Linked DNA regions of Saccharomyces cerevisiae S288C. Changing the gene in region 2 together with the main gene of any one other region gives a genetic interaction. Each region holds a gene or a part of one and is shown on either strand. Other genes may lie near its edges.

Region 1 (8,048 bases), on a different chromosome or scaffold from region 2:
CCTAATTTGTTGGAACTTGCATTCCTCGGAGACCCACTTGAAAACATGAATCTGCAAATCTTTAGACGCGGTAACGATCACCAAATAGTTCTTCTTGCTGGAGTTCGTATAATTGGTAAATAAAACATCCATGGAGGTAATTGCCTTGGTATGACTTTGCAAGGATGCCAGAGGGATGGTGTAGTTAAATAAATCAAATGCGTATAATTTGCCATGATCTGTGGCCACAAACACTATAGGCAAATTGGGATGTAGTTTGACGGAAGTGACAGATGATTCAACATTAATTAAACAGCTTGGTAGATTTCTCGGTATCCATTTCAAAACATTATGTGCGCTGGTGCCGTTACTGGTGGTAGGTTTGAATTGTGCTAGTTCTGACACTTGAGTGTTCAAATCTTTAATCTGAGATACAAGGGTCTCTGTATTCTGCTCCAATTCAATGATTTTTTTTTGTAGTCTAACAATTGAGTTCCACTTCTTCGGTAGCAGTAATTCATCAATGTCTACCATACTTTCGTTACTGGTGTCATTGTTACTGATGAATTCTTGCCGGTCCACTGATTCTTGCAACAGAAAACCTGATAGAGTTACAATTGCATGTCGAACACTTTCGTAATCTTGAGCATGCTCATGTCGTACAGTTTGTTTGTAATTCCAATTCAAATATCGGAGGACACTTTTATCGAGTTCATTTTTCTGTGTATCTGTTAAAGGAAGCTGTTGCTGCCAGTTAGTCATTTCTATTTTTTTCTACACTTACGCACGCACAGGTGTATACCAACAACCGGACGACGAACCTAGCTGCTTTATCAATGGCTATCTGGGCGACGATGGCCCAATACTAAGATTACCTATTACGTTTACACTCGCCAAAAATAAGAAACAAGTGCAATATGCACGACTTGCAAGCTGAAAATATTTCAAAACACCCACATCCCACAGCACAAAACCAGTGCAAATTCCATAAAGGGAAGTGAATTAAATTCAATGGTAGATGAAAGCACTTTTTCAGGAACCGTTTTAAGATCTAATTGTAGTTTACCAAGATATACTAAAACGTCGTTACTCGTTTTATTTACCTACCATTAGCTAACCGTTGCCATGGCTACCGTCCGGGTCGCCAGCGGCTGCTACTGCAAAAGTTGACAACGAAAAAGAGAAAAAAAAAATTCTCGGCACGCAAGACCTGAATGGTTTTTGTTTTCCCCTTCCCATTTTTTTCTTATGGTTTTTCCAGTTTTCTAGAAGCCGGAAAAAAGGCAAGCTACAAAATGTACTACGCGGAGCCAGAATTAAAAACCACGCGGACGGGACGGGCCGTGGCTTGTGACGCCGGATCCCCGCGTATAATCCGTGTCACGCTAAAGGACAAAATCGGTTTATCCGAGCGGTTTACGGGAAGGGTCTTTTGCTATCTCGCAGTAGCGTGTGCCTGGTTATCCCAATACTACCACCACACCTGTGCTTTTTTTATCTTGTACGTGCATGTATGCGTATGTTTTCTTTTTTTCCGTTGGTGCTTATTCGCTACCGTCTCGTTGATCCATGAATCACAAACACAAGCCGGTTCTGCTTACTATACAAAATAGTCTTGTGTCTTGATTCATATATCCGTCAATAACGTAGCCTTTCTTTATTTTCCTTTCGCTCACCATACTCTTGCATTAGTGTATTTTGTCTTTTATATCGCCAATAAGTGCCCAACTCTTCTACCTGACCCCTACGTCGTCGCCGCCCCTTTTCTTTTTCTTCGCCTAGTTCTATTTGGCTATATATTTCAGAGTGACAAATCTTTAAGAGAGACAAACTGAGAATTAGCATATAGAATCATTCATACAACTGTTTACAAACAAGTAAGCCCAAGACAGTTCCCAACCGCTTAAAGAAGTTTTTCCTAGAGGGAGCAAAGTTCGTTTACATTTCACACACACAGTTTTTTTTCACTTTTTTGGGCCTCTTCCTTTTCCCGTTTTTTTCAAAAAGCTTAGAAATCTTCTTCACCTCCTATTTTTCTAGAATCGTGAAGAATTTCCAGATTTAACAGTTTTCCACTTTTTCAATAAGGAAATAGTAGGAATAATAAAAAAAGGATAGTAGTAACGATATACGTCGACTTTCCAGACTGGTCTCGAGCCGGAATTAAATACAATAGCAGCGTTTGACTACCACATTGTAGCTCCGCTAGAATTGATCGAAAACAAAAATAATAACACTAATAATTATAATAATACGGTAGAACTATTTCTCGTATAAAGATGCCTAATCTATTGTCGAGAAACCCATTCCATGGTCATCATAATGACCATCATCATGACCGTGAAAATTCGTCTAATAACCCGCCACAGTTGATCAGAAGTTCTAAATCTTTCTTAAACTTCATTGGTAGAAAACAAAGTAATGACTCACTAAGAAGCGAGAAATCTACAGATTCCATGAAATCTACCACAACCACTACAAATTATACTACAACAAACCTTAATAACAACACCCATAGCCATTCTAATGCAACCAGTATCTCAACAAACAACTACAATAATAACTATGAAACAAACCACCACCATAATATTTCTCATGGGCTCCATGACTATACTTCTCCCGCCTCTCCAAAACAAACCCACTCCATGGCAGAATTGAAAAGGTTTTTCAGACCTTCTGTAAATAAAAAACTATCTATGTCTCAACTTCGTTCCAAGAAACATAGCACCCATTCCCCCCCACCTTCAAAATCAACTTCTACAGTTAATTTAAATAATCACTATCGTGCCCAGCATCCTCATGGCTTTACAGACCACTATGCTCATACCCAGTCTGCTATACCGCCAAGTACCGATTCTATCCTATCTTTGTCCAATAATATTAATATATATCACGATGATTGTATTCTGGCTCAAAAATACGGGAAATTGGGTAAGTTATTGGGTTCCGGTGCCGGTGGGTCCGTTAAAGTTCTTGTGAGACCAACTGATGGTGCTACTTTTGCCGTCAAAGAATTCAGACCAAGGAAACCGAATGAGAGTGTGAAAGAATATGCCAAGAAGTGCACCGCAGAATTTTGTATTGGTTCGACTTTACATCACCCAAATGTTATCGAAACTGTTGACGTTTTCTCTGATTCTAAACAAAATAAATACTATGAAGTTATGGAGTACTGTCCGATTGATTTTTTTGCTGTTGTTATGACAGGCAAGATGTCTCGTGGCGAGATCAACTGTTGCTTGAAGCAATTGACTGAAGGTGTTAAATATTTACATTCTATGGGATTGGCACATAGAGATTTGAAATTGGATAATTGTGTCATGACTTCCCAGGGTATTTTGAAATTAATTGATTTTGGTAGTGCTGTTGTGTTCAGATATCCTTTTGAAGATGGCGTAACGATGGCTCATGGAATCGTGGGTAGTGACCCTTACTTAGCGCCGGAAGTGATTACCTCCACCAAATCTTATGATCCTCAGTGCGTCGATATATGGTCTATTGGGATCATATATTGTTGTATGGTGCTTAAAAGGTTTCCATGGAAAGCCCCTAGAGATTCTGACGATAATTTTAGATTATATTGTATGCCGGATGATATAGAACACGACTATGTTGAATCTGCCAGGCATCACGAAGAGTTACTGAAGGAAAGAAAAGAAAAGCGTCAAAGGTTTTTGAATCACAGTGACTGTTCCGCCATCAATCAGCAACAACCAGCTCATGAATCAAACTTGAAAACAGTTCAAAATCAAGTTCCAAATACTCCAGCATCTATACAGGGTAAAAGCGATAACAAACCAGACATTGTGGAAGAAGAAACCGAAGAAAATAAAGAAGATGATAGCAATAATGATAAAGAAAGCACGCCAGATAATGACAAGGAAAGTACCATCGATATTAAAATAAGCAAAAATGAGAATAAAAGCACGGTAGTTTCAGCTAACCCAAAGAAAGTAGATGCCGATGCCGACGCTGATTGCGATGCTAATGGTGACTCTAACGGCAGAGTGGATTGCAAGGCTAACAGTGACTGCAATGACAAAACGGATTGTAATGCTAACAATGACTGCAGCAATGAATCGGATTGTAACGCTAAAGTTGATACTAACGTCAACACTGCTGCCAACGCTAACCCTGATATGGTTCCCCAAAACAATCCACAACAACAACAACAACAACAACAACAACAACAACAACAACAACAACAACAACAACAACAACACCATCATCACCAGCATCAAAATCAAGACAAGGCCCATAGTATCGCTTCCGATAATAAATCGAGTCAACAGCACAGAGGACCTCACCATAAAAAAATTATTCATGGCCCATACCGTCTATTACGTCTACTACCACATGCTTCAAGACCTATCATGTCCCGTATACTGCAAGTAGATCCAAAGAAAAGAGCAACCTTAGATGATATTTTTAATGATGAATGGTTTGCCGCCATTGCTGCCTGTACCATGGATTCAAAAAATAAAGTTATTAGAGCGCCTGGCCATCACCATACATTGGTTAGGGAGGAAAATGCTCACTTAGAGACCTACAAGGTTTAATACGAACTACTCAATTATTTTCACTTCTTTTTTCGATTAATTTAATTGTATTTTCTATTTTTTCTTATTTTTTTCTTTCACTTTCCAATTGAAACGCTTGACGAAAATCTATATACTATATATACGGAAGAGTATCTATCATATTATACATACAATATAGAGTAACATTGCCCTTTGCTCCAAAAGCAAGAAACATCACTGAATTATTGTTTGAATTTGCAATTAGAAAAGTTTAAAAGAGTTTTTGTTTTAAACAATATGTACAGCATAGATAATGTCATGAATATTTACATCTATTGAATATCTTTCGTAGCTACCAATTCTGAATTATATTTTAACAATGATATATTGTTGACACCCCATTTCTCACTGAATGTATGCTTTCCGTTTAAGGATATAGTGTCATTATATCTTAATGTCCAATAAAGAAACAATCTTTTCAGTAAGATTTCTTTCCCTAACGTGTCATTAACCATCTCATTCAAGTCATCGCCCATGTGATAAAGTTTTCTTTCAAGTATACAGTTAACCAATTCTCTATCACTTAGCGCGATTTTAGTTTTCTCAACATCAGTGTTGAGTATACTCTGCAACAGCAACCAGTCATCGATAAACAGATACTGGTAAATTTTTTCTATCTCATTGCAAAGTAGCTTCTGTAATTTTAACTTTTTATAAATATACAGTTTCCAGTTTGATATCATACTTTGAGGAAAGCTTGTCAGAAAATTATACAAATTCTCAATAGGAACTGCATATGGTGGCTCATACTTAATTGTACCTTGCTTAGTAAACTCTAAGGGACCCAGACCGTAGTTACCTTGTGTGCTTGTTGTTCCCTTGATATATGAGTTGGAAAGCTTCTTGTATCCACCAGGAGTTAAACAATTGTACGGACAGACACGTGGAAAAAAGGTAAAGATCAATACACTTACCTCCTCAAATATGAATACTAAGGTGAAAAATACAGGTAATTTCCAGATTTGATCTCGTCTGATCAGTTCCACCAGTGTTTTCCTATTGATTGAAAGTGGCCTTAATGGGGCTTTTGCTGAAGAACTTGTAGGCAATGATGAAGACGATAGTCTTGTATTGATTTCATGCATTTCTATTTCCCGTACTAAGTTAGCCAATGCACCGTTTTTTATGCTGAATTTCTGCTCTTCGTTTCGAGTATCCCAGAATACTTTTAACGTGTTCTGAATTCCTGTTTTATAGCTTTTTAAAAGATACAATCCAATTCTAAACCAACCTGTCATGAATTTCCTCCATTTGCCAACCTTAGTATCCAATTTTACCTGTTCCAAGATCTCCTGCTTGGGGAACTTAGTCATTGGTAGGGATCGATTAGAGTTTAGAGTAGCGGCCAGAGGCTCTGGAGAATCGGATGGTGTTGTCTTCGCATTCCAATCGACATCCTGTACTATCTGTAGTGAACCTAATTTGTAACGGCTATTCAACGCTTTAAATAGTGGTGCCTTCACTAAACCGTGCAATTGAATAGAATCGCTTTTTATCACCGATGGTGCTATGTATTTTCGTACCAGTGCAACTCGAGAATCCATATCGATGGCATTAAAGGTGTTAACTCAATTAAATAGATTAATAAAGTTCTTTTTAAATATAGAGTAAAATGTTCTTATATCTCGTCACTGTATCAACAGCCGTCTTCCACTTTTCTACTTTTGCATATAATATTCCGTGCATTTTCTAGCGAGATTTATTATTCATCCGCAACAGGTTTGTACATAATAAAGTATAAAAACCTGCATCAAAATAAATGCGAAAAGGTAAGAAAAAGGTTATCTATAGATTATTTAGAATCGAGTAATTCCTGTGCAGACGTAATAGCGGATCTTGCATCACTGACATCTTCGGTACCCTGGTAAGTTTTTAGAAATTGTTCTAAATCCTCTTTAAATTCTCTAATCTTCTCATATAAAGTAGGTAATAATCTTTTTGTGTCATCAAGGACCTCCTCCTGTTTCTTCAAGTCATATGGGTCAACTGACTTGTCTTCTTTAAGTTTTGCCACATGTGCTTCCTGATCTTTCAGTTCTTGTTGGTAGTACCCTTCCTCCTTAGTCAGCCTCTTCAAGGCCTTGACTTTTATATCCAATTGTGTGGGTGCCATTGATAGTGAAATGTAGTTTTCTTGAGTTCAACCTGTTGTGCTTTATGCTCAAAAATGCCCTTATAAGACGCACTGTATCTAACTGCTCTGTTTATATGTAGCCATAGTAGTTCTTCATTATGATCCTTTGCGGGTAATACTACAAAAGGTGCGACATAAGCGGCCATTTATCGTTGAAATTGTGACACTTTTCTATTGATGACCACCTCTGGTGCAAATACACAATGTGTCACCGCTCATGCCATTATTCTACTTATATACGTATGATTTTACTTGAAACCTAGAATAAATTTTTTTATTCGCTGTAAATGCTACTGCTGCAACTTGCTATTTCAATGCAGTCAATTTTTTTTTGAAGAATATTCAAAGCCCTATCCTCGTCATCGTTGTCATCTCCATCATCACTGTCATCGTCAAAAGTCATGACATGCATTATTTTAGGCGGATCGAGAATTACTTTTTTTAATTTTCTTATAGAGAGTTTATTCAAAAGCGTATTGCACGATGATGTTTGTGCAACTTTTGGAAGCTTGTTATGTATATCCAGATCTTCCACTGATACTGTTGAGGGCAAAGTCTCCGCAGCAGTGCAATAGCCTTCCTCACTAGTGCTTTCAGACACAATGGATGATCTCATTGTCCTCTTATTCGTGTTCCATACTATACTTTCTACTTCGGACAATTCCTCATCTGAATTCGATTGGTCAGAGTATGTACTGCATCCAGACGTGGTGTATTCTGGGCTAGAAATGACATCGTTTAATGTGTTAGAATTGACAGGTTTCAACTTTGGTGTTGTTGACGAAAACAAAGTCTCTGTGTCGTCAGGGCAGACGACATATGGTACCTGAAATGCCTCATTTTTTTTAGCTATTTGTTTTGAAGCGCATATATCGATAATTCTGTCAATTTCTGAATTTAGGGCAGTAGAATCGCTTGTAGAAACGTTTTCATAGGCTGATAGAATTTCGTCAAACAATATTTCACTACCGCTTTTGCCATACTTATTTTTTCTACAGCAATCTTGTGTCTGTGTTTGCATTAGGGAGACCGGATTAATAGGAGTAAGGGCTTTTACAGGCATTACAATTGGGGCCGGGCGAGAGACAAACACTTTATCAATAATATGATCCGAATGTGTCTTATGCCCTAAAGATTGTACTACTGCAGGCTTTGACAGCGTCGGCCTACGTAAACTTTTTCTTTGAATTGGTAGTGATTTTACCTTCTTTCTTTCTCGTAATGGTAGAATCGTGCTTTGAGGACAAACTGGTCCCTTGGGAACTTGCATGTCAGTAAATTTTTTCTCTCTAATCACCTCAAGTTGGGAGCGTGGCCTCTTCTTGAAATCATGTAAGAACAATTCTGGAACAGAC
Region 2 (3,816 bases):
TTACACTACCATTCAATTGTCTCTCTTTAAAGATTGATCGACATTATTTTCTTTACTTTTTTGGTGTTTTCGCGCTAAAAGTGGCGTGCTAAATGCCAAGTATTATTCTAAAAAATCATTACGCCATACACAAATATTGAAGACTATCTATCTAACTTAACACCAACTTGCTTTATTAAAGAGTCAATATCCTTCAAAGACTTAGTGAAATACAATTCATCGTCAATATAAGGTTCTTCACCGTCGCTATTGTTCAAGTTTTGTATTGATTTTAAGTAATCCTGCGTACACAGGATACTCACTTTACTGTCCGTCGTGGATAGTTCATTCCACTGCCTAATACTTAAATGGTTTTTCTTGTGTCTTTTATACGTTCTAATTGAATCATAGTTATTCTTTCGCAATACAAAGGCTATTGAACATATAGTCTTACATTGGGAACAAAATATATCGTATTCCTCATCTTCATCGTTTGGATCAGTATGCACCTCCAAAAGAGTTGTCCGTGGTACAATGGCCTGAATTTTCCGTATGCGTTTTAATTCAGTATTATAAAAGACGATCAATGAAGAGTAACATTGCCTAACAAAAGCATCATTGAACAATAGAGTATCTTTATTGTACTTGTCCAAAACATTGATCATTAAATCAAACATATCAAAAACACATGCTTTCTGAGTTAATTTATAATCCGTAATCGCACCAAATCCATATGGTAGCCAGAAATCTATAGTAAAATTGACAGCTTCATTAAAATTATAACCTGTATTAAAACCAGCATGGTAACATTTAGGAAACGTGATAATATATTCGTTGGGCTTTTGCACAGCTTTGTACACAGGAATACCTGATTTCTTGAAATTTGGATCGTACGGAGATATTAAAGTCACTAGCTGATGCAGTAGGTCTGGTTGTTTGATAAATAAGTCTGGTGACATATCATTTAATAGATCGTTGAATTTCGTACATCCCGATTCGGGAATGCTGTACCAGACCTTAGGGTCACCTTCATGTTGATAGTTAGCACTTAGGGTATACTGATCTTCCATATGCCAACAAAATGTGGAAAATAAGGAGCCTATGTAAATCCAAGGAATAGTCATGCCAGAAATATTTCTTTTAAATAACGGTAATAGCGAATTATGAGCCATAGGCAAGTTAGTTAAATTCATAGGATGATCGCAATATTTGAGGTAGTCTATCAATTCGTCCCCATTTATATTTTTGGGTATAAATTCTCTCGTCGGAAAGCCGGTAATTTGACCTGGCAATTCGTTATGTATGTCAGCACCGTATTTAACTGTCGTTAATGAACTGCGACGATTCTTGGTCACTAAGCTCCAAAACATCTCTTCCAACTCATCTATAGACAGTTTTCGTGCTGGTAATAACCTTGAATTTTGACGTTTACAATATTCTTGAAACTCTGGTAGAGAATAGTCATGCGTGTCCTGAGTGAATCCGTAATATCCGTTTCCGACGATACAAGTGTTACAAATCCAATCGCCAGAGGGAACACGTTCCAAAGGTGGTGATAAACAATATATATGGAATGGTTTGTCACATGAATCACATAAAATTGTTCTTTTTGGATCATTTGTCTTGCGACAAACAATACAAGCATCATCATCGTCCTCCTCAAAATCCGACCCAGAATTCGAATCTGGCCCAAGATCGAAATCGTCCTCGTCATCACTTAATAAGGATTTTGGATACTGGTCAGCATGCAGCGCCGTGTGCACGTTCTCGTTCAGTGAATGAAGAAATATGTAGTATGAGGCAATATATTTCTCAAAAATTTCCTTTAACAAGCCGATTGGTACGTTGAATTTTTTAGAAATGGTCCTCCATAGACTGATGTCGCCTCTTAATTGGGAAATATCTCTAAATTTCAATTTTCGCCTGAATGACTGTGTAGTGTCAGTAAGTGTCCGATTGTCTTTTATTAGTTCAGAGAAAACGTCATAAAAGTACACTTTTTTTTTTAGTATTTCCGATGCATGAGTAGAATCTGAATATTCTACAATCGTATAAGGTTCCCTAAGTATAAGTTTCGATGGATCCTTAACGGATCTTTTAAAATTATTTAACTGTTTCATAAAAAATAGCCTACACCTATTTTTCAGGTCTAGGTTCTCCAGATTTTGAATTCTTGGTTGAAAAGTAAAATTTTCCATATCAATAGAAAGTGGCGGGCAGAACCCGTTTGGTGGTACGACCTTGACCATACCATATCGTACACCAAGCCTTTTAATGTGGGGGTTAGAGAGATAATCGATCGGATTTTTGAATTCTTGTTCCGTTGGATACAGGGCAGGAATTTCCTCCATGATAGTGATACGTTTTTTGTGCAAGATGAGATTAGTTAATATGATCTAGAGGTAAAATTGACTAAGTAGTCAGATCTTATTCTACATTGAGCCTGCGTTGTCAACATGCACATCTCTGTCTCTTGGGATGATAATTTTTCAATGATGATTCCAGGGTTACTTTAACGTTACACAAAAGAAATTAATTAGTGCGGCTGTTTCTGTGAGCGGGGCAGTAAGTCCGAAGCCCTTGATATTAGCCCATACCCTACACATTTTACTCGTTTGCCCTACATCAGATAAAATACTGGCCCTAAGCCCTCCTAATCTCTTCTGGTTACACCTAGGGTAAAATATCTGCCTTTCTTTGCATTCAATGCGTTACTTCTATATCACGAGATGAGCATACGGATCGTGTATAATACTAAAAAGAAAGCTCCTGAAAGAGTTGTGACAAGCAAGACTGTATACTACTCCTTCTACGAAAGTTAGTTCGAGTTCTTGATGGCACTTGGCTATTCTATTTCTTGAACCTTTGAGAAAGAACAGAAGTAAAAGGCTGTGTATTCTGCTACATGAAATACAGTAGTAGTCACAGTACAAAAATACTCTAAACCAGTAATAAAGCCACATATATATGTATTTCCTTTCACGTGATGCGCTGGGATGTTATCATCTTATACGCAATTAGCCGCCCATATGCCACCCGGCGCACCGGGTCGCACACACACCCCCGTGATTCGCGATATATAGCGGCCAATCAACGGCGACCTCCAAGCGCGTGCCGGGTGGGCCCCTCGCCGGCCAAGCAGCGCAAGGATATTCCCATCTTCGAGCTCTTAGATACAACGCTTATAAAGAACGCACTTTTTGCATTAACCTCTTTTTTGTATTACAGAACAAACATTTTAACTTGCCCTTTTTTAAACTTTCTTTATCTCTCCAGGACAGGCCAATTGGATAAATTTTGCAAAGATCAAACAGTAACACAAATTTTAGCAACCTAAACCCCCCTCATAAACGAAGACAAAAGTGCTCCTCCTCAAGTCAAATTTGTCTTTCTTTTCTTTCATTTTTTAGTCTGTTGTTATCCAATTTATACTGAATCTTTGAGAGAAAACAAAAATAAAAAAAAGAATGGTTTTGCCAAGACTATATACTGCTACATCCCGTGCTGCTTTTAAAGCAGCCAAACAATCCGCTCCGCTTCTATCCACTTCGTGGAAAAGATGTATGGCCTCAGCTGCTCAATCTACTCCAATCACCGGTAAAGTTACCGCTGTCATTGGTGCCATTGTTGACGTTCATTTTGAACAATCAGAGTTGCCCGCTATTTTGAACGCTTTAGAAATTAAAACACCTCAAGGTAAGTTGGTTTTGGAAGTTGCTCAACATTTGGGTGAAAACACTGTCAGAACCATTGCTATGGATGGTACCGAAGGTTTGGTCCGTGGTGAAAAGGTTCTTGACACTGGTGGCCCTATCTCCGTCCCAGTTGGGAGAGAAA
Region 3 (8,551 bases), on a different chromosome or scaffold from region 2:
GTATGTATACGAAATCGTCTATTTTATTACTATTTCCTAAAGTATCCAGAGAAGTATACTAGTTTCCGCAAGTTACGTTGAGAAAAAGGAGCAATTCTGCTCTAATAGCATTTGCACTCACACTTACATTTATCTTCAACTTGTGACTATTCACAAGATGATTTTCCGTAGGGGATTACCTTCACAGGGTCAAAGACAATTTTAGTTGATGAATTTGAGGAAAAATTTGAAATATCTTGATTGTTGCCAAAAATTTCATCGCCGACCTTGATTAGAATATTTTCTCAAATTTTCATTTCCTAAGTGTCTCTGTTTCACTCCCTTCATTCGAATGAAAAGTGGTGTTTTCAATTCGATGTAACTTCGTAGAAAAAAGTTTTACTTGATGGTCATACAAACCTAATTCATTCTATTTTCGGTTATGCTAACAAAAATATTTTATTATTTGTATTATTACAGAAAAATCTTGACCCCAGAATCTCAGTTGAAGAAGTCTAAGGCTCAACAAAAGACTGCTGAACAAGTCGCTGCTGAAAGAGCTGCTCGTAAGGCTGTATGTTAAACTTTTGCTTACATTTATATTTTATGCTGCAACACATTTTCTTACTGGGATATATGTGAGTTCACGTGCGTCGCCAATTTTGATAAGTATCATTCGAACAGTTGCAATATTCTCAACACCTGTGGTATCATTAGGCTAATGGACTATTTGTTACGTTCTGTTTGTTTTCTCATTTTATGATGAAAATCCATTGTATCCCAATACATATTCGACTAGTCATTGACGATGCTGTCGTAACTTATCACCATCTTTCGACTGATTATAAGAAAAGAAATAGAAAGTAAAATAGACCAGAGAGTTAAGGTATTAAGGTTACAATTATTGCCGTGTTTCCAGTGTCAGAAAAACCATTGAGTGATAATGCCGTGTAACAATTTTTAGCATAAAATACTGTGTTTTCCATCTGGTATTTTTTTACTAACATCAATTTACTGTTTTTTACTTTTTATTTTCATTTAGGCTAACAAGGAAAAGAGAGCCATTATTTTGGAAAGAAACGCCGCTTACCAAAAGGAATACGAAACTGCTGAAAGAAACATCATTCAAGCTAAGCGTGATGCCAAGGCTGCTGGTTCCTACTACGTCGAAGCTCAACACAAGTTGGTCTTCGTTGTCAGAATCAAGGGTATTAACAAGATCCCACCTAAGCCAAGAAAGGTTCTACAATTGCTAAGATTGACAAGAATCAACTCTGGTACATTCGTCAAAGTTACCAAGGCTACTTTGGAACTATTGAAGTTGATTGAACCATACGTTGCTTACGGTTACCCATCGTACTCTACTATTAGACAATTGGTCTACAAGAGAGGTTTCGGTAAGATCAACAAGCAAAGAGTTCCATTGTCCGACAATGCTATCATCGAAGCCAACTTGGGTAAGTATGGTATCTTGTCCATTGACGATTTGATTCACGAAATCATCACTGTTGGTCCACACTTCAAGCAAGCTAACAACTTTTTGTGGCCATTCAAGTTGTCCAACCCATCTGGTGGTTGGGGTGTCCCAAGAAAGTTCAAGCACTTTATCCAAGGTGGTTCTTTCGGTAACCGTGAAGAATTCATCAACAAATTGGTTAAGTCCATGAACTAAACTGGTTGAAGTCACATTACATATAACTACTTATTTTATCTAAGTCCTATATAGTTCTGTTATTCACTAGTTTGTATATTGTACCTCTAATTTATCTTATAATTTCGTCAGTAATGACTTATAATTGGCTTTATTTTCTTCTCTTTTTTTTCACATGCGCAGAACCTATATAACGAAAAAAAAAAAAATGAAAACTGAAGATAAGCGGCCTTGACTTCTCTAAACTGCCGATATTTCAACGAAAGTTAGCCAACTTATTTATAAAAGCCTTGAATACCAACAATTGGAAAGAAGGTGTCTGTGCTTATCATATATAGCTTGCATAAAGAAAAATTATAATATCTTCGAACTTCCATAGAAAGAATATCTTTCAGTGTTAACTGGCTCATTTACTCAGAAATTAGTATTTTGAAGAACGATGAGTATTCGGAATGATAATGCTTCCGGTGGCTATATGCAGCCGGATCAATCTTCGAACGCTTCTATGCACAAAAGAGACTTAAGAGTTGAGGAGGAAATAAAGCCATTGGATGATATGGATAGCAAGGGTGCTGTAGCAGCAGATGGTGAAGTTCATCTAAGAAAGTCATTTTCGTTGTGGTCAATTCTTGGTGTTGGATTCGGTTTGACTAATTCCTGGTTCGGTATTTCTACATCGATGGTTGCAGGTATATCTTCTGGTGGACCCATGATGATTGTTTACGGTATAATTATTGTTGCCCTGATTTCTATTTGCATTGGTACCTCGTTGGGTGAATTATCTTCCGCATATCCGCACGCCGGTGGTCAGTTTTGGTGGTCTTTGAAGCTTGCCCCTCCTAAGTACAAAAGATTTGCGGCCTACATGTGCGGTTCATTTGCTTACGCAGGATCCGTGTTCACAAGTGCTTCAACTACGTTATCCGTTGCTACCGAAGTGGTTGGTATGTACGCTCTGACGCACCCTGAATTCATCCCAAAGAGATGGCATATATTCGTTTGCTTTGAATTGTTGCATTTGTTCTTGATGTTTTTCAACTGTTACGGTAAATCCTTACCTATCATTTCATCTTCCTCTCTATACATTTCCCTACTATCCTTTTTCACAATTACAATTACTGTATTGGCATGTTCTCATGGAAAGTTCAACGATGCAAAGTTTGTTTTTGCCACATTTAATAATGAAACAGGTTGGAAGAACGGCGGTATCGCCTTTATTGTCGGTTTGATTAACCCAGCTTGGTCATTTTCGTGCCTTGACTGTGCAACCCATATGGCGTTTGAAGTTGAAAAACCAGAAAGAGTTATTCCCATTGCTATCATGGGAACAGTCGCCATTGGGTTTGTCACTTCCTTTTGTTATGTTATCGCTATGTTCTTCTCTATACAAGATCTGGACGCTGTCTTGTCTTCTACAACAGGCGCCCCAATCTTGGACATTTATAATCAGGCATTGGGTAATAAATCAGGTGCGATTTTCCTGGGTTGCTTGATTCTATTTACCTCTTTTGGTTGCGTCATTGCTTGTCACACTTGGCAGGCAAGGTTATGTTGGTCATTTGCCAGGGACAATGGTCTTCCATTATCCCGTTTATGGTCGCAAGTTAACCCACACACTGGTGTACCTTTGAACGCTCATTTAATGTCATGCGCTTGGATAACCCTCATTGGCCTACTTTATTTGGCTTCCAGTACGGCTTTTCAGTCCTTAATTACAGGTTGTATTGCATTTTTATTGTTATCCTACATCATTCCGGTTATATGTTTACTTGCTAAAAAGCGTAACATAGCTCATGGTCCATTCTGGCTTGGAAAATTTGGATTTTTTTCAAACATTGTTCTTTTGGGTTGGACTGTCTTTTCTGTGGTCTTTTTTTCCTTTCCACCAGTTTTACCTGTGACAAAGGATAACATGAACTATGTTTGTGTAGTTATTGTTGGTTATACTGCGTATTCGATTCTTTACTGGAAATACAAGGGTAAGAAGGAATTCCACGCTTTAGAAGAATCTGAGAACGAACAGGCTGAATATAGTAATAACTTCGATACCATTGAAGATAGTCGAGAATTTTCCGTTGCGGCCTCTGACGTTGAACTCGAAAATGAACACGTACCGTGGGGAAAGAAGTGAATTTATAGTGTTGATCAGTCGACCGTTATTTATTTTAAGTATATTATTTGCATAGAAGTAATAAAAGTGAATTTTTTTTAATGGTTTGTTAAGCCATTTTAGACGAGGGACTAAGATATTTCAACCTAAATATCCCTCAGGCTTTGCGCTCTTGAAAGCGATGTGACTGTAATTCAAATTTCTTGAAATATTTTTGCGGGAAAAAGATGAAAAATTTTTCACCTCATCGCATAAGAAGCAAATAAAAAAAAAATATTAATAATAGATAGGCAACAATATAGCAGCTCAGAGATATAGCTTAACTTCATTTTACAGCCTTTTAACGAAAGCATAAGTATTAACAGTTTGATATATAGGGGATTAAAATGACAAAGGAAGAAATCGCAGACAAGAAGAGAAAGGTTGTAGATGAGGAGGTAATTGAAAAAAAGAAGAGTAAGAAACACAAAAAGGATAAGAAAGACAAGAAGGAAAAGAAGGATAAAAAGCATAAAAAGCATAAGAAGGAGAAGAAGGGTGAGAAGGAAGTGGAAGTACCAGAGAAAGAATCTGAAAAGAAACCTGAACCTACTTCTGCAGTGGCTAGTGAGTTTTATGTTCAGAGTGAAGCACTAACCAGTCTTCCACAATCTGATATTGACGAATATTTCAAGGAAAATGAAATTGCTGTTGAGGATTCTCTGGATCTAGCCCTACGTCCGCTATTATCATTTGATTATCTTTCTTTAGACTCTTCCATTCAAGCAGAAATTTCCAAATTTCCAAAACCAACGCCTATTCAAGCCGTAGCCTGGCCATATTTGTTATCTGGTAAAGATGTTGTTGGTGTTGCTGAGACCGGTTCTGGTAAAACATTTGCTTTCGGTGTTCCAGCTATCAGCCATTTAATGAACGATCAAAAGAAAAGGGGCATACAGGTTCTAGTCATTTCCCCAACTAGAGAACTTGCTTCCCAAATTTATGATAATCTGATTGTATTAACTGACAAGGTTGGTATGCAGTGTTGTTGTGTTTATGGTGGTGTTCCAAAGGATGAGCAAAGAATTCAGTTAAAAAAGTCACAAGTGGTGGTTGCTACACCTGGTAGATTATTAGACCTATTGCAGGAAGGATCTGTTGACTTATCTCAAGTTAATTACTTAGTATTAGACGAGGCAGACAGAATGTTGGAAAAAGGTTTTGAAGAAGACATCAAGAATATTATCAGAGAAACTGATGCGTCCAAAAGACAAACTCTAATGTTTACCGCTACCTGGCCAAAGGAAGTCCGTGAATTAGCTTCCACGTTCATGAACAACCCAATCAAAGTATCTATTGGTAACACGGACCAACTAACTGCTAACAAAAGAATTACACAGATTGTTGAAGTGGTGGACCCACGTGGAAAAGAAAGAAAGTTATTGGAACTGTTGAAAAAGTACCACTCTGGTCCAAAAAAGAATGAAAAGGTCTTGATTTTTGCTCTTTATAAGAAGGAAGCTGCTCGTGTTGAAAGGAATTTGAAATATAACGGGTATAACGTCGCAGCTATCCATGGTGATTTGTCCCAGCAACAAAGAACGCAAGCATTGAATGAGTTCAAAAGCGGGAAGTCTAACTTGTTACTGGCCACCGACGTTGCAGCAAGAGGTTTAGATATACCAAATGTTAAGACAGTTATTAATTTAACTTTCCCATTGACTGTGGAGGATTATGTCCATAGAATCGGTAGAACTGGTAGAGCTGGTCAAACAGGCACAGCACACACTCTGTTCACTGAACAAGAAAAGCATTTGGCTGGTGGACTGGTTAACGTTTTGAATGGTGCCAATCAACCTGTTCCTGAAGATTTGATAAAGTTCGGTACTCACACTAAGAAGAAGGAACATAGCGCTTATGGTTCATTCTTTAAGGACGTCGATTTGACTAAGAAACCAAAAAAAATTACTTTCGATTAGGGGTTTTTTCGTTTACTTCAATCTTGGATTTTCTTCTCTAATAATAGCCAATCGAGAGTCGGAGATTTATTAACAAAACACTGTATATTACTATTATAACTGCCCACTTTCATTTATCATTAATATTATTTAAATTGACTCTCACATAGTATACATATTTTCTAGAAAAAAAATACGATTCAGTATATCAGCAGTCATGGTCTTCATTCAATCTGCGCTCAAGAATTTTTTCTCTTGCCTGATTAAACTCTATGGGGAAATCGACACGCAAAGCAGCGTTTAAATAGTCGATGTTCTTTCTTGAAGTTTCTAAATCACGTTTTATTTTTTTTGAAGTAGCCTCACCATTTTCAAACTTCTCTTGCAGTTGAGTGAGCCTGCTCTTCATTTCATCAATATATTGTTTAAGCTCTAGGCTTTTCGAATTTATAACAGCGGAGGTTTTGGTCTGTAGAGAAAGTGCCTCTGAGAAATCAGCAGAATCAATAGATTGTTTTAGAGAATCAAAAATATATCTAGAAACGTCAAATATTGGACCAGGATCCTGGGCATCCGTGGGTAGCAAATTGCTTGACTGAGGGATATCGTTATCTAGGAACAAATCTTCGTCAACGTTAGATTCATTGTCCATTTCATTTTGCTCCACAACATCTGAAACGTTACTTCCATCACTATCGAAGCTACCACTTGAGTTGCTAGTGGTGCTGATCGAATCATGGAAAGAGCTGGACATTTCCTCTGTTATAGGAATCGCGTAGGATTGAGAATTAATACTGGGTGTTGAAGAATGAACAGCCGAAAAAGTCTCTTCATCATCATTTTCCTCCGATATTCCGGTCACCATTGTTCTTCACTAAGTGTTGGTAACCATTATTTTGCCTCTCTTATTATTTTACTATAATATAGCTGCGACTTTTCAGTGAAAAACGTTCTTTTTTAACTTTTTGAATGGCTGAATATAATCAGTAATACAAAGGAGATGAGAGGGAAATTGTCTTGGATATAAAAGAAATATTTGAATAAAGACATAATAATTATTTAGGTTATTTAGAATATGTCATCTTATGTAGTTTGGTTCAATACTAACTACTAAATAAAATGAAACTCATAGAGATAATGGTTCTATAGCATGCATATATGAAAAGGAGAAGAGGTAAAAATGAGAGAATATGCATGAACATATCCATCCTCTTAATCCTTGCTTGTTCTTTTTTATGTTTCCATCTAGTCACCTACTTCAGGTTCTTAGACTGCTCGTTTTACTGTTTACCAGTTTTTTCTTTCTCTTTCCATTCCTTATCTAGAGCTTTCTTCTCCTCATCTGTTGTGAAATACGTGTATTTGAGAAACCTATAGCCTTGAGCTAATTGCGCAGTTTCATTAATAAGGTGGCATCCAAACAGTAAGTAGTTTTTGGGTGATACTGAAAGAGCATACTTCATGAAAACACCTGAATAGGTAACTAAAGCAAAAGTCATTGGGCCAGAGATTAGTGTAGGGTCTTTTTTCAGATCATATATAGCAGCAATTGGGATACCGAAATTTGATACGGGACCCCAGAAGTGTGTTGTGAAAATATATTTCAAAGTTTCTTTATTGATGTATTTTTGAAGGAATGAGCGTGCTGCAGCGCGTTGAACCGGTTGAGACATTCTTTTTGATCACAGTGCAATAAAATCTATACGTATATATGTAGATGTATTGACGTTTGCTGATTGGCAAGTGAGTGTTTAAATAGATTATCGGTGGAGAAAGGTGGAGACCGCAGGTTGTAGTGGCTATTCCTTCTTTGCCAGAAAGCACTTGTCATTTCGCCTCGGTTAAAGCGGGGGGCCGTCGCAAAAGAGAACTTTACAGGCCACGTCCAGAGCAAAAAACTCCACTTATTTGACTAGCCATGAAGCTATAATACCACCCAGCAATATAGAACTGGGTTATAAAATTATATTTAATTCGATAGTAGGCGGTCAAAAATCAAGATTACTATTAGTAGTAACCACATACTATTGGAGTGCTGAGGGGTAATAATTTTCTTGTTTTTCGAGAAGCAAGTAAGCGTCTTCTTTATCTTCGTCCTGCCCTTTATTCTTTTTACTCTAATAATTTCAAGTTCTATTTCTCCTTCCTCATCATCCCCTTCTTCTTTTTCTTCTTCTTCTTCTTTTTCTTCTGTGGTGTCTGTGTCAGTGCAAACTTCGATTTCTTCTTCGAAAGAACTCGTTTCATGTATTTTTCTATCAAAGTTACTGCAGATCTTCTGGTCTTGCTTGCTGCCTCTTTTTCTCAACGAAAGGATAGAAAACCTACCACCTCGAGTCAATATGGTGTTCGTTTCATGACACTCATCTGCAACTTCCGTTTGCGTACTCGCTTCCGACAATCCGTACCAACTTGAATCGCTATCTTCTGTGGATGTTGCAGAATGAATAGGGAAAGATGACACTGTATTATTCTTTCCAAATGTTACATTTGTAATAGTGCACTTTACGATTTCCCTTGCTTCATCGAAATACTCAAGTTCAATTCGGAAAATTAACTTGGCGGCTAAATGATGGTTGTCGCGAAAAGGATGATTATCAATTGCAATCAAACCAAAAGCATCACCATTTTTCAAATCAATTTCATCATTTGGCCCATCAGACACTAAGTTTACTGTACCAGTCTTGTTATTCAAATCCCGAATGCAGATGCGGAGTTGTTCTATAGAGGGAACTCCTTCAATTTTGGGTATTGGTGTCTTTATACATAGGACAGCATGCTGTCTGCTTAGTTCTGGCTCATCAAAATATAGATTGTACGGCTTACATAGACTATTTTGATCAAATGAACTCGAACGGCCAATGGTTTTACACA
Region 4 (8,642 bases), on a different chromosome or scaffold from region 2:
ACGAGTCCATTTCCAAAGATGGTCAAGGCGAAGAAGAACAAAATAATTTTTCGTTTGGTGGTAAGCCCGGTTCCTATGATTCCAATTCAGATTCTGCTCAACGCAAAAAGTCTTTCAGTACTACAAAGCCGACCGAATATAACTTACCAAAAGAACAGCCCGAATCAACGTCCAAGAATTTGGAAACCAAGGCTAAAAACATTCTGTTACCTTGGAGGAAGAAGCATAATAAAGACTCGGAAACTCCACACGAAGACACTGAGGCGGACGCTAACCGCCGTGCCAACGTAACTTCTGATGTGAACCCTGTTTCTGCCGACACCAAGTCAAGTTCTGGCCCTAATGCTACTATTACTACCCATGGATACTCTTATGTCAAAACAACGACACCCGCTGCTACAAGTGAGCAATCCAAAGTGAAAACGTCACCTCCCACTAGCCATGAACATTCAAATATAAAGGCGTCCCCCACTGCGCATAGACATTCCAAAGGTGATGCAGGGCATCCAAGTATTGCAACCACTCATAACCACAGCACTTCCAAAGCTGCCACTTCTCCTGTTACTCACACGCATGGTCATTCCAGTGCTACCACTTCCCCTGTCACTCACACACATGGTCATGCCAGTGTGAAAACCACATCTCCTACCAATACTCATGAGCATTCTAAAGCGAATACTGGTCCATCAGCCACTGCAACTACACATGGACATATCAACGTCAAAACTACCCACCCTGTTAGCCATGGTCACTCTGGTTCAAGCACTGGTCCTAAATCCACCGCTGCTGCACAGGATCATTCCAGTACTAAAACTAACCCTTCAGTTACTCATGGACATACAAGTGTTAAAGATAACTCCTCAGCTACGAAGGGTTATTCGAACACTGATTCCAACTCAGATCGAGATGTCATACCTGGTAGTTTCCGGGGCATGACTGGTACTGATGTGAACCCTGTTGATCCTAGTGTTTACACAAGTACAGGCCCAAAGAGTAATGTTAGTTCCGGTATGAACGCTGTCGACCCTAGTGTCTACACGGACACAAGTTCGAAGTCTGCAGATCGTAGAAAGTACTCTGGCAACACTGCGACTGGTCCTCCTCAAGATACAATTAAAGAAATTGCACAGAACGTGAAGATGGATGAGAGCGAACAAACTGGATTGAAAAATGACCAAGTTTCTGGTTCTGATGCAATCCAACAGCAAACTATGGAACCTGAACCCAAAGCAGCAGTCGGGACAAGTGGTTTTGTAAGCCAGCAACCTTCTTATCATGATAGCAATAAAAACATTCAACACCCAGAAAAGAATAAGGTTGATAATAAAAATATATCAGAAAGAGCGGCTGAAAAATTTAACATTGAAAGAGATGACATTCTGGAATCCGCCGATGATTATCAACAGAAAAACATTAAATCCAAGACGGATTCTAATTGGGGTCCAATTGAATATAGTTCCAGCGCTGGTAAAAATAAGAATCTGCAGGATGTTGTTATACCTTCTAGTATGAAGGAGAAATTCGACAGCGGTACATCTGGATCTCAGAATATGCCTAAAGCGGGAACCGAATTAGGACATATGAAGTATAATGATAATGGTAGGGATAACTTGCAATATGTTGCCGGTTCACAAGCTGGTTCTCAAAATACGAACAACAATATTGACATGTCACCCCGTCATGAAGCAGAATGGTCCGGGCTTTCTAATGATGCCACCACCCGAAACAATGTTGTATCACCTGCTATGAAGGACGAAGATATGAATGAAGATTCTACTAAACCTCATCAATATGGGTTGGATTATTTGGATGATGTTGAAGACTACCACGAGAATGATATTGACGACTACTCAAATGCAAAGAAAAACGACTTGTATTCTAAGAAAGCGTACCAGGGAAAACCATCGGATTACAATTATGAGCAGAGAGAGAAAATCCCAGGTACTTTTGAACCTGATACGTTGTCAAAATCAGTGCAAAAACAAGATGAAGACCCGTTGTCTCCAAGGCAAACCACTAACCGTGCTGGTATGGAGACTGCAAGAGATGAGAGTCTTGGCAATTACGAATACTCGAATACTTCTGGTAACAAAAAATTATCTGATTTAAGCAAAAATAAATCAGGCCCAACTCCAACGCGTTCTAATTTTATTGACCAAATTGAGCCAAGAAGAGCAAAAACAACACAGGATATTGCATCCGATGCCAAGGATTTCACCAATAATCCGGAAACAGGTACTACTGGAAACGTAGATACAACCGGAAGGATGGGTGCAAAATCCAAGACCTTCAGCTCGAACCCTTTTGATGATAGTAAAAATACAGACACTCATCTCGAAAACGCTAATGTTGCTGCCTTTGATAATTCCAGATCTGGAGACACTACATACTCCAAATCAGGGGATGCTGAAACAGCTGCTTACGATAATATTAAAAATGCGGACCCTACATATGCCAAATCACAAGATATTACTGGAATGACTCACGATCAGGAACCATCATCAGAACAAAAGGCCAGTTACGGTTCTGGCGGCAATTCCCAAAATCAAGAATATTCTAGCGACGATAATATTGATGTCAATAAGAATGCGAAAGTTTTAGAGGAAGACGCACCGGGCTACAAGCGTGAAGTAGATTTGAAGAACAAACGTAGAACCGACCTTGGTGGTGCCGACGCCTCAAACGCTTATGCTGCCGAAGTTGGTAATTTCCCTAGTTTGATTGACCCACATGTCCCAACATACGGATTTAAAGACACCAACACCTCTAGTTCTCAAAAGCCATCTGAGGGCACCTACCCAGAAACCACTTCCTATTCAATTCATAATGAAACAACTTCTCAGGGAAGGAAAGTGTCGGTGGGTTCAATGGGTTCCGGAAAATCAAAACATCATCACAATCATCACCGTCACAGCAGACAGAATTCTTCAAAAGGGTCTGACTACGACTATAATAATTCTACTCATTCAGCCGAGCACACTCCAAGACATCATCAGTACGGTTCCGATGAGGGTGAGCAAGATTACCATGACGACGAGCAAGGTGAGGAACAGGCTGGTAAACAAAGTTTCATGGGTAGAGTGAGAAAAAGTATTTCTGGCGGTACTTTTGGATTTAGGAGTGAAATTTAAACACTTCTCGATTAACAAATTCCCAGTATTCTTTGAAATCTATTTTTCTTCCTCAATTGAATTTGAATAACTGTCTACGCGGACTCCTCCTATCTACAACTACAACAAATTTTAACCACTTTATTACCACTTTCCTCTTTCATTTATTTTTGTCTTTTATGTTGTCAATTTACTAGTATTTTTTTTTTTTTCATTTACGTTCAAGGTTTTTTATACTCATTTAACTTGTCTTAGGTTATTTATATATATACCTATATATTTATATATATATATATATATGTATGTATATATTATTATCACCAAATGAGAAATAATAGCTAATTTGATTTTTGATTATTTAAAATATTGGTTTGTTCTTTCTGCAAACATCTCGTTTGGTACGATATTAGTGAAAAACGATGTAATTATCAACACGTGCATTACCCAGCGTTATATTTTCATTACCCGGACGTGGTGTTTTTTGTTTTTTAATGTTTCTTAGACTTAAAGAGGAATGGAATGGTTATTTGGATTAAATCATAGAAAAGTACAATTAAGGTTACGGCAGGAGCCTCGAACCGGTAGTTTTACAGAAAATAGACCCATCTGGTGGCAACACTAAATCATTGAAATAATAGCAAACAATTGTTTCAAAACTCCTCCCATTTGGATCTCATCTCAATTGTTTTTTCCTTCTTAGTTAAAAGTTCACGAAATTAGGAAATCTAAGAATCAAAATATAATCCGCTGTTATTTCTGCGTGTAAAGGTTTATCTTCTACTTGTGTCATATTTCACAAATTATCACTTTGCTAAAACAAGGGACTGACTTCTTTCTTTATTTTTCGAGCATTTTTCAAAAAAGCAGGGTTTTTGAAAACAGGAACCTTAGTTGCCACATCTACGCTGAAAAATAACGCTTAAGGTTTCTCAATTAACAATGTCATTAGTGCATAATCAGACGAATTTAAACGAATCCAAATTTCTTATAGAAAGGGCATTTAGTTCTAGTTCAGAAACCGTTCCATTATCAAAGGAGGCAACATATCCCATGCCAACTGCATATAGTTTTTCCGCAGTTAGGAGCAACAGCGAGACTAACATTAAAAGAGAGAACCCGCAAGGTTTTGCAAAAGAACCTATTATGACTTCTATGCTTCATAATTTGACCATGTCCACGGGGAAAGGGAACGGGAATGACGTCAATTCTTTAGCCCCACATGATGTGGATGTTGGCCCCTACTGTCTTTTGCTGAGGAATTTGCCAAAAGACATTACACTAAGAGAGTGTTATTGTATATTTTCACTAGCAACTGGGGTGTCAAGTATAGAACTAAAAAGGGATGATAGAGAACCCTTTAATGACAATGAAAAAGTCGTTGTGGTCAAATTTGGATCCCTTTCTTTAGTAACCCATTATGCTAATATATTAAACTCGAAGTCTGAGATTTTTGGGCCTAGTTTCCCCTTTAGGTCTCACATTGACGTAGTAAATGAACAAACGCAGCTTCCAGTGAGTTTTCAAGAACATGTTTCATCTGGCACTACAAATAGTTCTCCAAAGAATTACCAATTGTCGTCCAGTGCGCAAAATGAAATTCAAAATCAAAGTTTTAATACTATATCATATGGAAAAACTAGTTCCTCTCCATTAGGGCCTTCAGCGGCCAAGCCAAGGCCTTCATTACTTTCAGAGAGATCCCTCCGTTTCTCATTCAATGACCCATTCGGATTGGAAACAATCTCTCAAAGAAAAGAATCCGTACCCTTTCTACGAAATAGCATCTCACAACATGATTTATCAAACGTAACCACCACACCAGTTCCAGCAGGAATGCCACCTCAGAAGGACGCTGGCAAGTCACTTTTGCTACTAGAAAAGGATGAAATAAATGAAAGTATTTGGAATGGTGATGAATTAGTTAATGATGTTGGTAATTCTTCATTTGGTGCATCTTTACAAGAGCCTCCGATGTCATCTACGCCTGTGATGGAGTGGAATGCTTCCTCAACTGCTAATATTCCTCTTTTTCAATTATCTAGCCAAGAAAATCATCAGTCTAATCTGTTGCCTCCATCCCACCATTCAATTAGCCAGGATGTTCCACATATTCAATCACAACCTAATCTGAACAATTCAGGAGTAATACATTCCGCGACTTCTCTACCGCATTATCACTTATTGAACCAAATTAATGCTTCAACTAAGACACAAAGTATTCAGCAGAGCGTTTCGAATGTTCCTTCCAATTTGGACCTGAATCTCCAAACGGAAAATGGCCACCCACAATCTTCTGCTCCTAACGGGTCTTCAATATTCAACAACCAAAAGGTGAATCAAGGCTTTTTAGTGAGTGAACAAGACACCAGTACAATATCACGACAGAAAGAATGTTCTTCTACAGCTTCTGCCTCTGCATTTTCGAAAAATAACGAAACAAATGTGGCAGGTTCCACAACTATTTCACAGGCTGACCTATCACTACTAGCCAAGGTGCCACCACCAGCCAATCCCGCGGACCAAAATCCTCCTTGTAATACTCTTTATGTGGGTAATCTACCTCCGGATGCCACGGAACAAGAATTAAGGCAATTGTTTTCTAATCAGCAAGGTTTTCGTAGATTATCCTTCAGGAATAAAATGAACTCTCACGGTCATGGCAACGGTCATGGCCATGGTCCAATTTGTTTTGTAGAATTTGAGGATGTTAGCTTTGCCACTAGAGCATTGGCAGAATTATATGGTAGTCAACTACCTCACCCCCGCCCTTCCCTCAACAACAAAGGAGGTATCAGGTTGAGCTTCTCTAAAAATCCATTAGGCGTTAGAGGCTCAAACAGTAGGAGTAAATCTGGTTACAGCTTTAATGGAAGTTACGGGAAATCATGATAGATTTAGTATTGCTTTATTAATTTTCTTTTGCTTTACTTTCTGACCTTCGTTTTTACTTTTTGGATTTTGCAGTTTTTTCATGCTCTACTTATTTAGTTTATGCCATATTTAAATTTATCCCTACAATTATTTGACACTGTTTGTATGTGTGTTCCCTTCTTGAAGGCTGTGCTGAGGAAACTTTGTAGTTGGTACATAAATTTTTGATCAAAAGTAAAAATACCCCCGTTCGGTAACTTATACATTTATTTATTTATTTATTTGCTCAGCTTTGGATTTTGTACAGATACAACTCAATCTCTACCCGATGCAATAGAGGCTAAATCAGTATACGTGTCATTTTTTTTAATTTGGCTCCTTGTGCTCTGTTGTAGAGAATTGATTGAAGATGATGAACCGTTTAGTTTATTCTGATTTATTAGTTTTTCCCTCAATTTCAATTCGTGTGCTTTTCTTTCTAATTCTTGAATTCTTTTTTGTAATTCTTTAGCTGACTGGGCCTCTAACTCTTCCAGTTTTTGTTGTCTTGCTAAAATTCTTTCATGTCTCAAGACATATGGAACGGTTTCTGAAATATTTCTTAACTTGGTACGCTCTGGTAAGTCCGGAGAGTTCAAGAATTTTGGTGAAGATTCTGTTTTGATAGATCTTATCAAATTTTCATTTTCTTGTTTTATTTCTCTACCCAACTGTCTCACGGGAGACATTTCCTGTTCATTTTCTGCTGAATCATGTTCGCCATTGTCTTCGTATTCGTTTTCCTTAAAGTTTCCACTTACTTGGTTTCTTGGTGTGTCCGCTCTCAAATTGTTTGCAAGAGTTTGAGAAGAATTGAATTGACCAGTGCTTATCAAAGAGGCAAAGTTGCTTAAACTTGGAGCATTTGACTGTCTCTTTGTAGAATTAGGACCAATTTCTTCAGCGTTGGCCACGGACGATAGTTTTTCGGAACGGTAATTCTCGTAAAGCAAATTTTGCGTGGTGTCTTTGAATTCTTGTAAGTGAGAACCAAACAGGACGTTTTTTAAAACTTTCAAATCCGAAATTTTGTCGTCGTCGATTGATATTATCCCCCACGGATACTCCCTAACGTATCTACCTTCACTATCTCTGGTATCTGAAGTTATAATAGCAAATGGTTGCAAGGATGCCAAGGCTTGATTCTCTTCCATGGATTCCAAATCATCATCTTCAGGGTCAACCTCAAATTTGTAAATTGGGACGTTGTATCTTTCCACATCAAACATAATATTTTTCCTGAATTGAGTTAGCTCCTCCTTGGTGAATGAGTCAGCTCTTGTTATTATTGGCAGTACATTTGTGTATTTGGAGATGCTTTTCATGAGCTCTACATCGACTTCTCTCAGACCGTGTCCAGTGGGTTCAATAAAATATAATGCTACGTGAACCCTGGTGTCCTCAAACCTCGGATTCCTTTTAATTCTGGTTTCCTCAGCTAAAACAATGTCAAATTGTTGTTCTAAATACGACATAACTTCCTCAGAACACAACGAATCGTCCAAGTTTTCGCCTATACCATGCGTCATAATCAAGTTGAAAAACACGGTATCATCCTCGTTCATTTCTGGCTTTCCTTGATCTTTGTTGCCCCCAAGTTCTAATGAAGTGGAGGTGATGGTAATACCTGGTTCCAAATTGGCTCTCATTGGATCGAATTCAGAAACATAAGATGGAATCCCATTTTTCGAATTAAATGAAACAACTTTTGTCGGAGCAATAACTTTTACTTCTGGGTTAGAGCTAATACTAGCATTTGATTTACCGTATTGATACTTATGCGGAAAGATCTTAGTTTCCAATAGATTGTTAGCAAAGGCGGTCTTTCCTGTACCTGCTGGCCCACATAGTAACATTGTGTATGTGATCCCACGTTTATGTTCTTTCTTTCTACGAAATAAGTTAATTGGCGGTGTTGAAGCAGTGCTCATGATTAATAATATATTTTTCTAGCAATTATAAGCAGATCTTTGGGGCTCTTGTTTTATTATTTCACTTGCTGGGTACATTGATCTTGCTCGAAAGCTTGTTATATTCTTTTCGCAGTTTGGCACTTTAAAAATCGCGCGGTTACCCGCAAGCAACGCCAGTTTTTGTCAAGAACCAAATTGCACAACTATATCAAGAATGAAAGCAGAAATATGGACGTGATTCTGAGTTTAAATGGTGCCAATTGAGCAATTTTATCGCGGATTATAGAGCATGTCAGATTGGAAAGTGGACCCAGATACCCGCAGGCGTCTTTTGCAATTGCAAAAGATTGGTGCAAATAAGAAATGTATGGATTGTGGTGCGCCAAATCCACAATGGGCCACGCCTAAGTTTGGAGCTTTCATTTGCCTTGAATGTGCCGGTATCCATAGAGGGCTTGGTGTGCATATATCTTTTGTAAGATCTATCACTATGGATCAGTTTAAACCGGAGGAACTTCTTCGTATGGAAAAAGGTGGTAACGAACCTTTGACTGAATGGTTCAAGTCGCATAATATTGACCTGAGTTTACCACAAAAAGTGAAATACGATAACCCCGTCGCAGAGGATTATAAAGAAAAGTTAACATGTCTTTGCGAAGATAGAGTATTTGAAGAGCGTGAGCATTTGGATTTTGATGCTTCCAAGTTA

The links.
Region 1: mutations in DMO1 (region 2) and PNT1 together harm fitness more than expected from each alone (negative genetic interaction), as found in Saccharomyces cerevisiae (2 studies listed by BioGRID).
Region 3: mutations in DMO1 (region 2) and DBP3 together harm fitness more than expected from each alone (negative genetic interaction), as found in Saccharomyces cerevisiae (2 studies listed by BioGRID).
Region 4: mutations in DMO1 (region 2) and WHI4 together harm fitness more than expected from each alone (negative genetic interaction), as found in Saccharomyces cerevisiae (2 studies listed by BioGRID).

What each region holds. Positions count from the first base shown.
Region 1 is NC_001147.6:819,078-827,125, reverse strand, and holds PNT1 (Pnt1p), read right to left. Parts: upstream 6,104-8,048; coding exon 4,832-6,103; downstream 1-4,831. Other genes in the region: PAC1 (Pac1p), read right to left, coding at 1-741; YOR268C (uncharacterized protein), read left to right, coding at 1,194-1,592; putative serine/threonine protein kinase HRK1, read left to right, coding at 2,259-4,538; RBL2 (Rbl2p), read right to left, coding at 6,352-6,672; DSE3 (Dse3p), read right to left, coding at 6,968-8,048. UniProt on the Saccharomyces cerevisiae protein: Probably involved in mitochondrial export. Confers resistance to the anti-pneumocystis carinii drug pentamidine. May act by the removal of pentamidine, or its damage targets, from the matrix by an active-transport mechanism.
Region 2 is NC_001142.9:644,161-647,976, forward strand, and holds DMO1 (Dmo1p), read left to right. Parts: upstream 1-2,965; coding exon 2,966-3,316; downstream 3,317-3,816. Other genes in the region: JHD2 (histone demethylase), read right to left, coding at 144-2,330; ATP2 (F1F0 ATP synthase subunit beta), read left to right, coding at 3,447-3,816.
Region 3 is NC_001139.9:357,435-365,985, reverse strand, and holds DBP3 (RNA-dependent ATPase DBP3), read left to right. Parts: upstream 1-4,126; coding exon 4,127-5,698; downstream 5,699-8,551. Other genes in the region: 60S ribosomal protein uL30 RPL7A, read left to right, coding at 460-553, 1,022-1,651; HNM1 (Hnm1p), read left to right, coding at 2,070-3,761; KXD1 (Kxd1p), read right to left, coding at 5,886-6,542; pyruvate transporter MPC1, read right to left, coding at 6,958-7,350; YGL081W (uncharacterized protein), read right to left, coding at 7,647-8,551. UniProt on the Saccharomyces cerevisiae protein: ATP-dependent RNA helicase required for 60S ribosomal subunit synthesis. Involved in efficient pre-rRNA processing, predominantly at site A3, which is necessary for the normal formation of 25S and 5.8S rRNAs.
Region 4 is NC_001136.10:51,754-60,395, reverse strand, and holds WHI4 (Whi4p), read left to right. Parts: upstream 1-4,049; coding exon 4,050-5,999; downstream 6,000-8,642. Other genes in the region: HBT1 (Hbt1p), read left to right, coding at 1-3,131; septin SHS1, read right to left, coding at 6,296-7,951; GTPase-activating protein GCS1, read left to right, coding at 8,223-8,642. UniProt on the Saccharomyces cerevisiae protein: Has a partially redundant function to WHI3, a dosage-dependent modulator of cell size.